3 linked regions of the Nothobranchius furzeri genome follow. Each later gene encodes a partner of the first gene's protein in a complex. Links are inferred from orthologs where the notes say so. Each region holds a gene or a part of one and is shown in the gene's direction. Other genes may lie near its edges.

What was found.
Region 2: uri1 (region 1) and pfdn6 share a complex: the UniProt entries of both Homo sapiens proteins name them as parts of the PAQosome complex. The link is inferred for Nothobranchius furzeri from reciprocal best matches to the Homo sapiens genes URI1 and PFDN6.
Region 3: uri1 (region 1) and ruvbl2 share a complex: the UniProt entries of both Homo sapiens proteins name them as parts of the PAQosome complex. The link is inferred for Nothobranchius furzeri from reciprocal best matches to the Homo sapiens genes URI1 and RUVBL2.

Annotation. Positions count from the first base shown.
Region 1 is NC_091744.1:78,617,960-78,621,100, reverse strand, and holds the end of uri1 (unconventional prefoldin RPB5 interactor 1), read left to right. Parts: intron 1-401; coding exon 402-493; intron 494-591; coding exon 592-655; intron 656-812; coding exon 813-999; intron 1,000-1,071; coding exon 1,072-1,303; intron 1,304-1,391; coding exon 1,392-1,543; intron 1,544-1,616; coding exon 1,617-1,857; intron 1,858-1,999; coding exon 2,000-2,188; 3' UTR 2,189-2,586; downstream 2,587-3,141. UniProt on the Homo sapiens protein: Involved in gene transcription regulation. Acts as a transcriptional repressor in concert with the corepressor UXT to regulate androgen receptor (AR) transcription.
Region 2 is NC_091741.1:28,885,478-28,889,231, reverse strand, and holds the start of pfdn6 (prefoldin subunit 6), read left to right. Parts: upstream 1-1,305; 5' UTR 1,306-1,427; coding exon 1,428-1,491; intron 1,492-1,613; coding exon 1,614-1,684; intron 1,685-1,762; coding exon 1,763-1,887; intron 1,888-3,754. Other genes in the region: mmgt1 (ER membrane protein complex subunit 5), read right to left, coding at 289-392, 470-522, 783-861. UniProt on the Homo sapiens protein: Binds specifically to cytosolic chaperonin (c-CPN) and transfers target proteins to it. Binds to nascent polypeptide chain and promotes folding in an environment in which there are many competing pathways for nonnative proteins.
Region 3 is NC_091750.1:65,677,857-65,681,610, forward strand, and holds the start of ruvbl2 (ruvB-like 2), read left to right. Parts: upstream 1-1,412; 5' UTR 1,413-1,484; intron 1,485-2,194; coding exon 2,195-2,249; intron 2,250-2,369; coding exon 2,370-2,425; intron 2,426-2,754; coding exon 2,755-2,896; intron 2,897-3,001; coding exon 3,002-3,131; intron 3,132-3,216; coding exon 3,217-3,283; intron 3,284-3,416; coding exon 3,417-3,523; intron 3,524-3,613; coding exon 3,614-3,707; intron 3,708-3,754. UniProt on the Homo sapiens protein: Possesses single-stranded DNA-stimulated ATPase and ATP-dependent DNA helicase (5' to 3') activity; hexamerization is thought to be critical for ATP hydrolysis and adjacent subunits in the ring-like structure contribute to the ATPase activity.

The DNA of each region.
Region 1 (3,141 bases):
CAAACATAGCTAGCTGAAATGTGTCAGACAGCGGCTGAGTTGTCAGGCCTTCTGTGTTTGACCTTTCCTCACTTCCAGTTGATGCACTGACTGGAGGGGCTCCCGATCACCATGGAAACAAGGGCCCTCTGCTGCTATTAGTGAAAGGGCTTAATTGTTGTGAAGATTTAATGATCCGGAGTAGTATTCAGGGCAGAAGATATTATGAACTGTTTGTGCCATCATTTTTCTTCTTCTCCTCTCCTCCGTTTTCTCCAACATGTTTAGGATTTGAACTCTTCTGCAGCTTCCTGTCTCGACGCCGAATGTTTCGTTGACAGATTCGTGTTAGCCCGCTGCCTGTTTTTGCGACTGCCTGTGCAGAACGCTCGTTCTCATGATCATTTACTCGTTTTCTGCAGATGTGAGGAAGGAATTAGACGATCTGTCCAAGACGATGAAAATGTTCGCAGCAAAAGTTGGGTTTGCAAGCGACCTGGAAACCTTATCAGCTGTACGTTGCATTTGTGCACGCTGTCACACGTGAGATGTTGAGCAAGATGCAGGCGGTGACTTAATGCATTGACTGTTTTTGGTATTGTTTTGATTTAGAGTAAAGAAGCCTATGTCGACATCAGAGAGGAGGTCGGAAACAATGAGTCTGCTGTCACAAAAGGTATTATCGTCTTTCGTCTGACCTCATTTCACTAAAACGCAGCTTATGAGAAGGCAAAGCAAATATTTAACTCATTACTGGATTCTTTACAACAGTAGAGGGACTTTTCTTCATGTAATTGGTGATTTGGTTCATTTGATTCTGATTTCCTTTACAGGAAAGCAAAGGAAAGCCCACAAACCAAACTCCAAGCCCAAGAGCGACGTGGTGTTTGATCTGAAAGAGGAGGATGAGGAGGAGAGTGAAGATGGAGGGAGCAGAAAAGGCATCTTGACTGAGGAGGAGTTGTGGACTCGACTGGATGAACTAGAGAAGCTCGAGGAGCTTCAGGATGAGCAGGACAGGTGTGCGATCGCCGTCTTATCAGATTTATTCATTAGATTTGGTTGAATCTAAAGTGTCGCGTTTGTCTCCAGATTATGTGATTACGCAGACATGAACGGCGAGAATTCATCTTCCTCTTCCTCCGAGGAGGAGAAGGAGACGGATGTTGCTCCTCCGGTAAACGGGCCGAGTTTGAAGCCGAGCTGGAGAGCCGCACCTCCCAGCGGACAGCCGCTCTCCCAACGGAAAGAAGACGAGTACGATGAGGAAGAAGGCGACTGCTCGCCGACGATTTTTTTCTCCCACACAGTCGAACCCAAAAAGGTTGTTGTGTTAAAAGAGTCGTTCGGATTAGAAAGTAAACATTGCATGTTCCGCGTTCTTCATGCAGCGTCTTTGCTTGGTGCCTCAGGTGAGAATCAACACGGGCAAAAACACCATGTTGAAGTTCAGCGAGAGGAAAGAGCAGAAGGAACATTCGAAGAGAAAGAAGAAAAATGGCCAAAGTAATGGACACGCCCACCACGAACTCCACAAAATCACGACCCCGGCGGATATTTACAGGTAGAAGACCTGGAGGAACTCTGGTGTCGCTTTGGTGAAATTAAAGAGTTGCTTTCATTTTTTCTTCCTTCAGGTTGTTTGTGGATGTGAAGAACGGCGAGCTCGTTCCCAGAAAGTCCATCTTGAAGTCCCGCAGTCGAGAGAACAGCGTGTGCAGCGACACAAGCGAGAGCAGCGCCGCCGACTTCGAAGAGCGCAGGATGGTGGCGCGCAGCTTCAGTCACGATGACACGACGCACAGCGACACCAGCGACGGCATCACAGAGGAAGACAGTCCCACAGCCGTGCCGCTGCTCGCCTCCAGCCGCTTTGAAGTCAGTTTGTTTCTACTTGTGGTGTTTCTACAGATTCAGTGTTCAGATTATTTGTTCGGCTCTAAAAGCGACCGATGTCCGTCATTAAACATCAACCCCACAAAGGAAAATGATCCGGGTGTCCTCTTTATGTCTTCTCCAGGCGTTTTCAGGGACAGTGATAGAAAAGGACCCGATGCCTTTAGCTGTCCCCCACCTGACCATCGTCCCACCGGCTCTGCCAACCATACTGGAGAGGAAACAGGAGGAGGTGGTGCCCGACGTGGCCCCGCCTCAGCAGGCGCCTAAAAGGGTGTCCAAGTTCAAAGCTGCCAGGCTGCAGCAAAAGTGACTTTTGGCGGGAACATTTTTCTTATTCAAGCATTTTTCCCTCTTTATAAACTAATAAACACTTTTTACACTTTTCCCTCTAAATGAACAGGGTCCTTATTATTCATTAAAATGGAAACATGTCCATCCTACCTATCAACCTGTAGATGTTGATAATTAGAACTTTTTTGACCGGGTCAGAACTTGACCTGTTTTCCGCTCTGCTGCTGATCCCTGTTGTTTCCGGGTGAAGTGAGTCTGTACACATCAGACACCCTTTCTTTATGAAGCAGAACCAGTTGCTGAAGTGTGGTTTCGAACACTCTGACCTTCCTAATGAATGTATGTATTTTTCTGTGACGAGCTTTATGTAAAGAAAAATGATTAATCGAAACTAAAAATAAATGAATTTAACCACCATTTTTTCCTGTGCTTGTGATCACAGTAAATACTTTTGATTACTAGCTAAAGTATTTTTATGAGCCAGTTGTTTCTTGTGATTATATGGATAAAAACCATAAAAACTCAAAGTTTGGGGCAAAAAATAAACATTTTGAAAAGCAGAGGATGTAAGTAAGAGTCACAAATTCAGATTTAAAGGGGCATTATGGAAGTTTGACAGCCAAAACATGTATAGAAATAATAAATATCTTCTTCATACATTCTCCTGCAATGCCCTGGTCCTGTAGAATGAGCCCTGGCATTTTTACTGTGATTGCCTGTTTTTCTGTAAAATCACAGAAAAAGAGAGCTGCTCGGGTCGAGCAGGCTGCTTCACGCGCACTCAGGCATCGCCCGTAGCATTTGCTATCAGTAGCTTTAGTCTTTGTCGCTGTTCCTAACGCCTAGTGACAAAGCTAGCTACATTTCTGAAGAACTTTCTTCTAGATATTTCCTGCAAATTAGCAACAAAATAGCCATTTTCGCTCCAAATCGTTCTTTGAACGTTGTTTCAGCTGTTAGCAAGGATATAAA
Region 2 (3,754 bases), on another chromosome or scaffold:
CCTGGCATTTTAAAGCGAACTTAATAACTACTGCAAATGTTTCGAGAACAACTGAATAATGAGATGTTTCAACAAATTAGTGTTTTTCAACCTAAATAAGACAAAGAACCGAGAGATGTTAGTCTCGTCGAACAGAGCTCTGGTGGTTGTCCATCCCTAACTAGTGTATCTGCCGAACTGCCTTATGGGAGTTGAGAGTGTCCCTGTGGAGGGATGTTCCACAGAGCTGAAATCGAACCGGGTCACAAACAGATCCGGTACCGGAGGCTGTAAAGGGAATCTACTCACTTGTTTTTCAGCTCCGAGGACGCGTCCATGTCCTTGAACTCTCCAGCGATGTGAACGATCCCGTAGCAGGTCATCACAAACGATAATAATGTCTGCAGAACGATCTGTGGTGGGAGCAAGACGACGGTGAAGACAAATAAAAAGCAGGGCTCTCTCTGAAGACCAGAGATGGGTTACTCACGTCGATAGGCAGCGTTTCGTGCTCCTTCTCTGTGAGCCGCATGTATGACCGATCTGATGGGAGAGTTGGGATTTAATCAGAGTAATATCGACAATAACTCACAGAATACTCTTAATCCAAACATTAAACGACGGCAGTCACACAGAAGCGAGCAGGTACAGATTAAAGTCTTCCTCCGTTGGAGGCTCTAGCGGAGCTAGCTAAGCTGCTGTGGCCACAGGCCCCGCGGTCCTTCACTCGGTGGAGACTCAGTCCAACCAGAACTAACCAACACAGGAAAACATCGGTCTAACATCTTGGCGCTGAAACTCACGCTGTGCTGCCGAGAACGCTGCGTGGGCCAAGGCAAAGAGTCCGATGCCGACAACACCTTTCCAAAACGAAGAAGCCATCTCGAAGCAGGGCTCAGAGGGACTGTGGGCACCGTCGTAAAACAGTCGTAAACTGACGCAACTGTCACTGCGTCAAAACCAAAACCTACCTGCCAAATGATTATTTATGTTCGTTAAATATTATTATTCGCAGCCTGATATCTGTAAAATCATTTTATTTATGTGTTTTTGCCCTCTATTTAGATTTTTGTGAGCTGAAAATACCCAAAGAAAGCTGTCAGACGTCAAATGGTGCATTCGAATCACATCCTAAATTACATGTTTCTAACCAAACTCATTGATCTCCAACCAATATATTTGATCGAAAATTGAAGATTAGATGTATAACTAGAAAGAGCTTTTCATGGTTTAGTGAGCGTTTGCGTCAAAATAAGTCCAGATACACATAATTTTATTCTGACCTCGATTTAAAACCAGAATATCCGAGTGTGCCCTGAATCTTCCACTACATCCGGTCTCTGCGTAGCTTCTTCCTGTTAGCTAGCGCTGTTCTCTCATGTTGCCTTGCTAAGCGCTCTGTTACAATAATTAAACTTTTACAGTTGTGTAAGATAAAATAAGCAAACATGGCAGACGCCATTCAGAAGAAATTAAAAGCGGAAGTAGAAAAGTATGCACAAATGCAGAAAGGTGGGTTTTCTTTATGTGCTATCACAAGTTTTAGAGGGCATGTAGCCGCTATGTGTGCATGAAGTAACGTTAGCTTTTTGGCCATAAGAATAGTTTTTTAACCCACCTGCGTGTTTTTTCAGATGTTAGCAAGAACATGTCAGCCAGACAGAAACTGGAGACGCAGCTGACAGAGAACAACATTGTTAAAGAGGTAACTTCAGTCCTGTATGGCTGTATATCACAACGGTTTGTGTGTAATAATCCAGACATGACTCGCCTGTGTTTCCAGGAGCTGGATCTGCTCGACAGCTCAAACACCATCTATAAACTTATCGGTCCTGTTTTAGTGAAACAAGATCTGGATGAGGCCAAAGCCACCGTGGCTAAAAGACTGGAGTACATCAACGGGGAAGTGTAAGTCAAGCTGCTGCTTTACTGTTCTACAGCTCACCTGCACACCAATGTCTGTGTCACAGTGGTGAAAGATGGTTAGATTTGATCTTGTTTTTACAATTTCAGGTGGACGAAGCCGGTTAAACCCTGATTTTACTCAGACTCAGGCAGGAATCTTAATGGAAACAAACATAAAATGTAATTCTGAGCAATGCCAGACGCAGAGATGAGATCATCAAATTAATGCGAATATTAAAAAAACAGTTGGCCCTTATCATTTATTGCCATTGACAGCTAAAGACGTCATTTTAAATCCAGTGGCTCGCTGCAATTGACAACTAAAGCTGTCAGTTGCATTGTTTTAACGGGGTGGGCGTGGGATCGAGCCCCCGCACCATGAGAGTAAACATGACGTCTCTAAAGCTGATCTTAGTCCGTGTGTCACACGTCACCTGATCAGGAAGGAGAAAATCCATGAATTGGGATATTGTTTTGGGACGCTGCTGTGAAAAAAGCGAGGCGCTAACCAGAAAAGCGTCTGCAGCTCACACTTGGACAACAGATTGTGAAAGAATGGTTAACGCTAGAAACACGGTGATTCTTCCTGATGTAAAAAGTGAGTCTACTCTTTCTTTCGATAGTTTTGGCGTTTGCATGATCATAGAGCACAACGTTCTGACTCTTCAAAATCAGTAAAAACGCTCAAAAACGCTGGCAGCCAGGGGATTTCTGATCAGAAAACAGCGCAGTGAGTGAGTTAAACAGGATCCACCATAGTTCCTTATTTTCTTGTGGGTTGAAGCTGCTGACAGTCGCTTTTAAAACCATTTATTTAACCAGGAAGTCTCATTTTTAGTTGAACATGAAGGGACTTTCTTAAATTAGCGTGTTTGACATAACCGAATCCTTCACTAAGCGATTCCGGGTTCTAGCATGGCGGTGGTTAGGATGATACGTTTCACCTCTTGAGTGTGCACTGACGGAAGCATATTTTTTGCGTGTCACTTTTCCACTCAAAACGCAGCACTGAAGAGATGAAGTTGGAGAGGAACGGAAAACTTCATCCACAAAGACCAGCAGTTTGTTTTACTGGAGAATTAGACTGGAAAACCGGCATTCCCAGTTAGAACCAGAGAGGAATGTTTCAGTAAATCTGAGTAAATACCTGCTGCTGGAATTAAATGAATCAAATACAAAATCAGAAAATACAAAAAAAAACAATCGAATCCAGAATTATAATAGTTTTACTAATTTTGCTTGTTATTCTCATCATTACATATTTCCAGAGATTGTGAGTTAATTAAAATTAAAAAACACAAATTCCATATTTCTGACTGTGAGGATTATGTATTTTGATACTCGACACCCAATGTGTCACATATTAAAATATGCTGACTAATCCCAGCTGTCAGCCGAACGAAGGATTAATTGTATTGGACACAGAGACAATCGCATATTTAAACCTGGAAACAAACAAACAAAAAAATTTGAAAAATACAAAAGCAATGAGACAAATGAAAAACCTGCTAAACTTTGGAGAAGCCATGGCGCTCACACCGCCTTCACACTGGCTCAGCAGGAGCAGGAACACCTCCCGTTCAGGTTCAGTTATCCTGGTTATTCCTCCTCTCCTCCTAATCCTCAACCTCCATCTTTGAGAGTGGAGCTTGAAAAATCAGAAAAATGTGACGGCTGGATCGAATCAACAACAAAAATAATTTTCCTACAAGGCATTCTGTTTCGGACACACAATCATTTATGTTGAAACGTACCTTAAAGGGATACGATGTAAAGTTTTCATATTTTTAATCATTTTCTTGAGTAAGTATGTGCTAGAATGACCCTTAAAGGAGTCATCACCCGTTACTACCGTGGATATCTACATCAC
Region 3 (3,754 bases), on another chromosome or scaffold:
CCCTAGCACAAACAAATCCAAATAATAAACATTACTCTTTTTGTTTAGACTGCAGTGATCACATGGGTGGGACTCATTTAAGTATTTCTGATTTCAAGCTTTCAAGTAAACATATACCCAGTTAGCCAATCATGTCAGTTATGTAATTTAAAGTGTGTGGAATCCCGAAAGCTGCACTTTTAGGGGGGAATTCTAATGACAGGAAGGAGATGAAAACCTGCTCCAGAAAGATTTGAGCACACTTTGCTTTACACCCTTTTTTTTTGCATTTCTAAAGGTATAAAAACACGAAATCTAACTTGTCAGAAGAAAACTTAAGGATGGAGTGCCAGCCAACTTATCTTATCAGATATTTTGATTGATATTCCTTTGCATTGATCACTGCAAGTTCACATGAACAAAAATTCCACAGCTTTAAATTATGAGCTTTGCTACCTCTGGTGGAGAAAAGCTTTTAGAGCTTTATTATGGCGTTTTCCATCAGACAATGTTGGCCTTCCTATGCCATGTGGATGTGTTTCTTTTTAATATAGAACAAAAATATATCTGATTAACCCTTCAAAACTTGAAATAAAAAACTTATTACATTTAAACTTACATAATAGTCACAAGATAATTTGAATGGTACGTGTGTATTTGAGAAATAACGTCCCTCACGTATTTGTTCCAAATGCCTTGGTTTAAAATGACTTATTTTCAAAATTATAGTATTTTAATGTGTTTTGTGCTTGATGCATTCTTATTCTCATTGCTTATTTGTTTAGATTATTTTAAGAGAAAGCTCAGTAGATTGCAATTGTTGTCATGTCATCAATTCACAACAGGACAATTCCATTTGAAAGTATATAAAAAAGAAAGTCACAAGAAAATGTCCCTTTATTTTTATTTTTTGCTTTCATTCTTGTTAAATGCACCAGCACACAAATGTCTTCTACCTGGATTACCTCTTTATAATTTTTTATAGTGTTTTAGATTTTAAAGGACCCCTCACTGGTAAGAAGACTTTTTACTCAAAGCAACTTGGAAATTTGTAACTAAAAATATTTTTGCTATTTCAAATGTGAATAGAATATGTTTTAATAGTTGTGCTCATCCTTTTTTAGCAATGGCTTATTATTTTGTATTTGAAATTTAAGAAAAAAGCGATTCTTTTGTTTCTACTGGTTTCCAATGAGAACATTTAAATGACGAAAACACGAAATGCACGGACCCAGTTCTACAAACATTCATTGAACGAGTTAACATTTATAAAATTTTGAATTAGCATTTTATGTACCTTTATAAGAATCGTGTAATGAAACGTATTTACCTCGTTAGTTTTGTCTTCTTGGTCAAAAACAATTCAGTAACAACCGATGGTAACAACGCTCCCCCATGTGCCCCTGTGAAAAAAAAACTACTTGTTTCTAGTCGGACGCATTTGCTCGGTGCACTTTCAGAAAGGAGCGCCTCGTTCTCACGTTTCGGTGAGTGTAGTGGTGCAGGTGAGTGAACACGCTTATTATAAAATAATATAAAATTCAAACATATTACAGTTTATGCTGCCCGATTGCTGTTGTCTGTGTAATTTGAAGAAAGTCTTATGATGTTGGAGTGTTTGACGTCCCCATTCTGCTTGTTTTGAATGTTAGCTTTAAATAAAGCGATGAATGAAGCTAGCTGTTTGCTAACACAACATTAGCCACGGAATGCTATTCTATTCCTGTTTTAACGCTGGCAATGTAGCCGCACATGTTTCGGTATGTTACATAACTAATGTGGTGGCAGTTAAAAGTTTTCTTGCTTTCACGTATGACATTAATATTTGGAAAGTGATCGAAACTTTGTATTACGCTAGCTAATGTATTGTAGCGCATGGGTTATAACTGTCACTATGACAACCAGCTGGACAGAACAGACCTCTCAGACGTTTTCTGATCTAGCAAACAACATAAATATCGTTTTATTGTGGTACATTATTTACTAAAAGGTGTGTCTCATTGCCAAATCAAGTTTTGGATCTGATCTTTACCGTTTTAGTATGATCAGGTTTACACATTAACTATTGTTTTTAATAATTTGACTTATTTTGAGTCATAATGTGAGATACAGACAAATAACTGGTCAGTAGAAGTTGCATTGCTTAATTATTCAGAAACGTAAAACAATCTACTTAATATTACAAGTTTTTCTTGTTGTGTTTCACCTGATGCAGATGGCGGCTACAAAGGTTCCAGAGGTTCGTGATATCACACGGATTGAAAGAATTGGTAGGTGTGGACGTCTTGAACCGTTAACTAATCAAAAAGCTAATTTATCATAAGGGTGTATGATGCTGCTAGTTGTGTGTGCTCTTTATTTTTCCTTCAAATCCACCTTTTTGCGTTCAGGGGCCCATTCTCACATTCGGGGCCTTGGCCTGGATGATGCTTTGGAGCCAAGACAGGTACTCTTGTCTCTGATTCATTTGCTGTGGACTTCCTGTTCATGCTCTCTAAAGAAACTCTGTTAAGTCTTTTAAAAGAAAAAAGCTGTTTGTAAAATGTGTTGTTTGGTTACTACTAATGCATATACTTTGCTAGAACTGGTTAAACTGAAAATACAGTAGATAGCCTGTGTAACCTCAACATCACATCACTTCAGACATTTTCTCTTATATTATCTACCAACACTTTAGAATATTGAGCAGTGTTGTTCTTTTAGGTTTAGTTAATTTTCCAGCATTAATGTGTGTGAGGTTTTGTCTGAAGGAGACTTGATCCTCTTCACCTGCAGGTTTCTCAGGGGATGGTTGGACAGCTGGCTTCCCGTCGGGCAGCAGGGGTCATCTTGGAGATGATCAAAGACGGCCACATTGCTGGCAGGGCGGTCCTGATCGCTGGCCAACCTGGCACGGGAAAGACTGCCATTGCAATGGGTGAGAGCCGAGTTGGAAGCTGTCCATGGATGTAAATGTTTCAAGTTGCATTTTGTTTTGAATCAAGAGTTCCTGCATCCTGTTCCTGATGAGCTTGTCTTATAGGCATCGCACAGTCTCTCGGCTCAGACACGCCCTTCACAGCTCTGGCTGGTAGCGAGATCTTCTCCCTGGAAATGAGCAAGACCGAGGCACTGAGCCAAGCTTTTAGAAAAGCCATTGGAGTGAGGATCAAGTGAGACAGCGGTCACAGATACAGCATTATTTAATTATTTTTGTATGAAATGATTTGCCTTTGACTGTTTTTTCCGTATTTACAGAGAGGAGACGGAGATTATTGAAGGAGAGGTTGTGGAAATCCAGATTGATAGACCGGCCACCGGAACGGTGGGATACTTTCTCTAATGTTAGCTAGTAGTCTCAGAATTTATTGTCTCCCACTTTCTGTTAGCTTAAATACATTGATGTTATTCTCTTTGAAGAGTCCTGTTTAATAAAAATTATATTTTCTTTCCGTCAGGGTGCAAAAGTAGGCAAGCTGACTCTAAAGACGACAGAGATGGAGACTATCTATGACCTGGGCAACAAGATGATTGACAGTCTCAGTAAGGAGAAGGTTCAAGCTGGGTAGGTTCTGTTCGCACAACAAGACTCTCTAGTCTCGTTTTTCTCTGCTGGAGCGACGTTAGAACAAATCTATTTACTCTGTTTTTACAGAGATGTTATTACAATTGATAAAGCCACTGGGAAAATCAGCAAGTTGGGTCGCTCCTTCACCAGAGCCCGAGACTACGACGCCATGGGCGCTCAGGTGTGATGCCACTGTATTCAGATTGAGGATGCAGGTTGACTGATTGC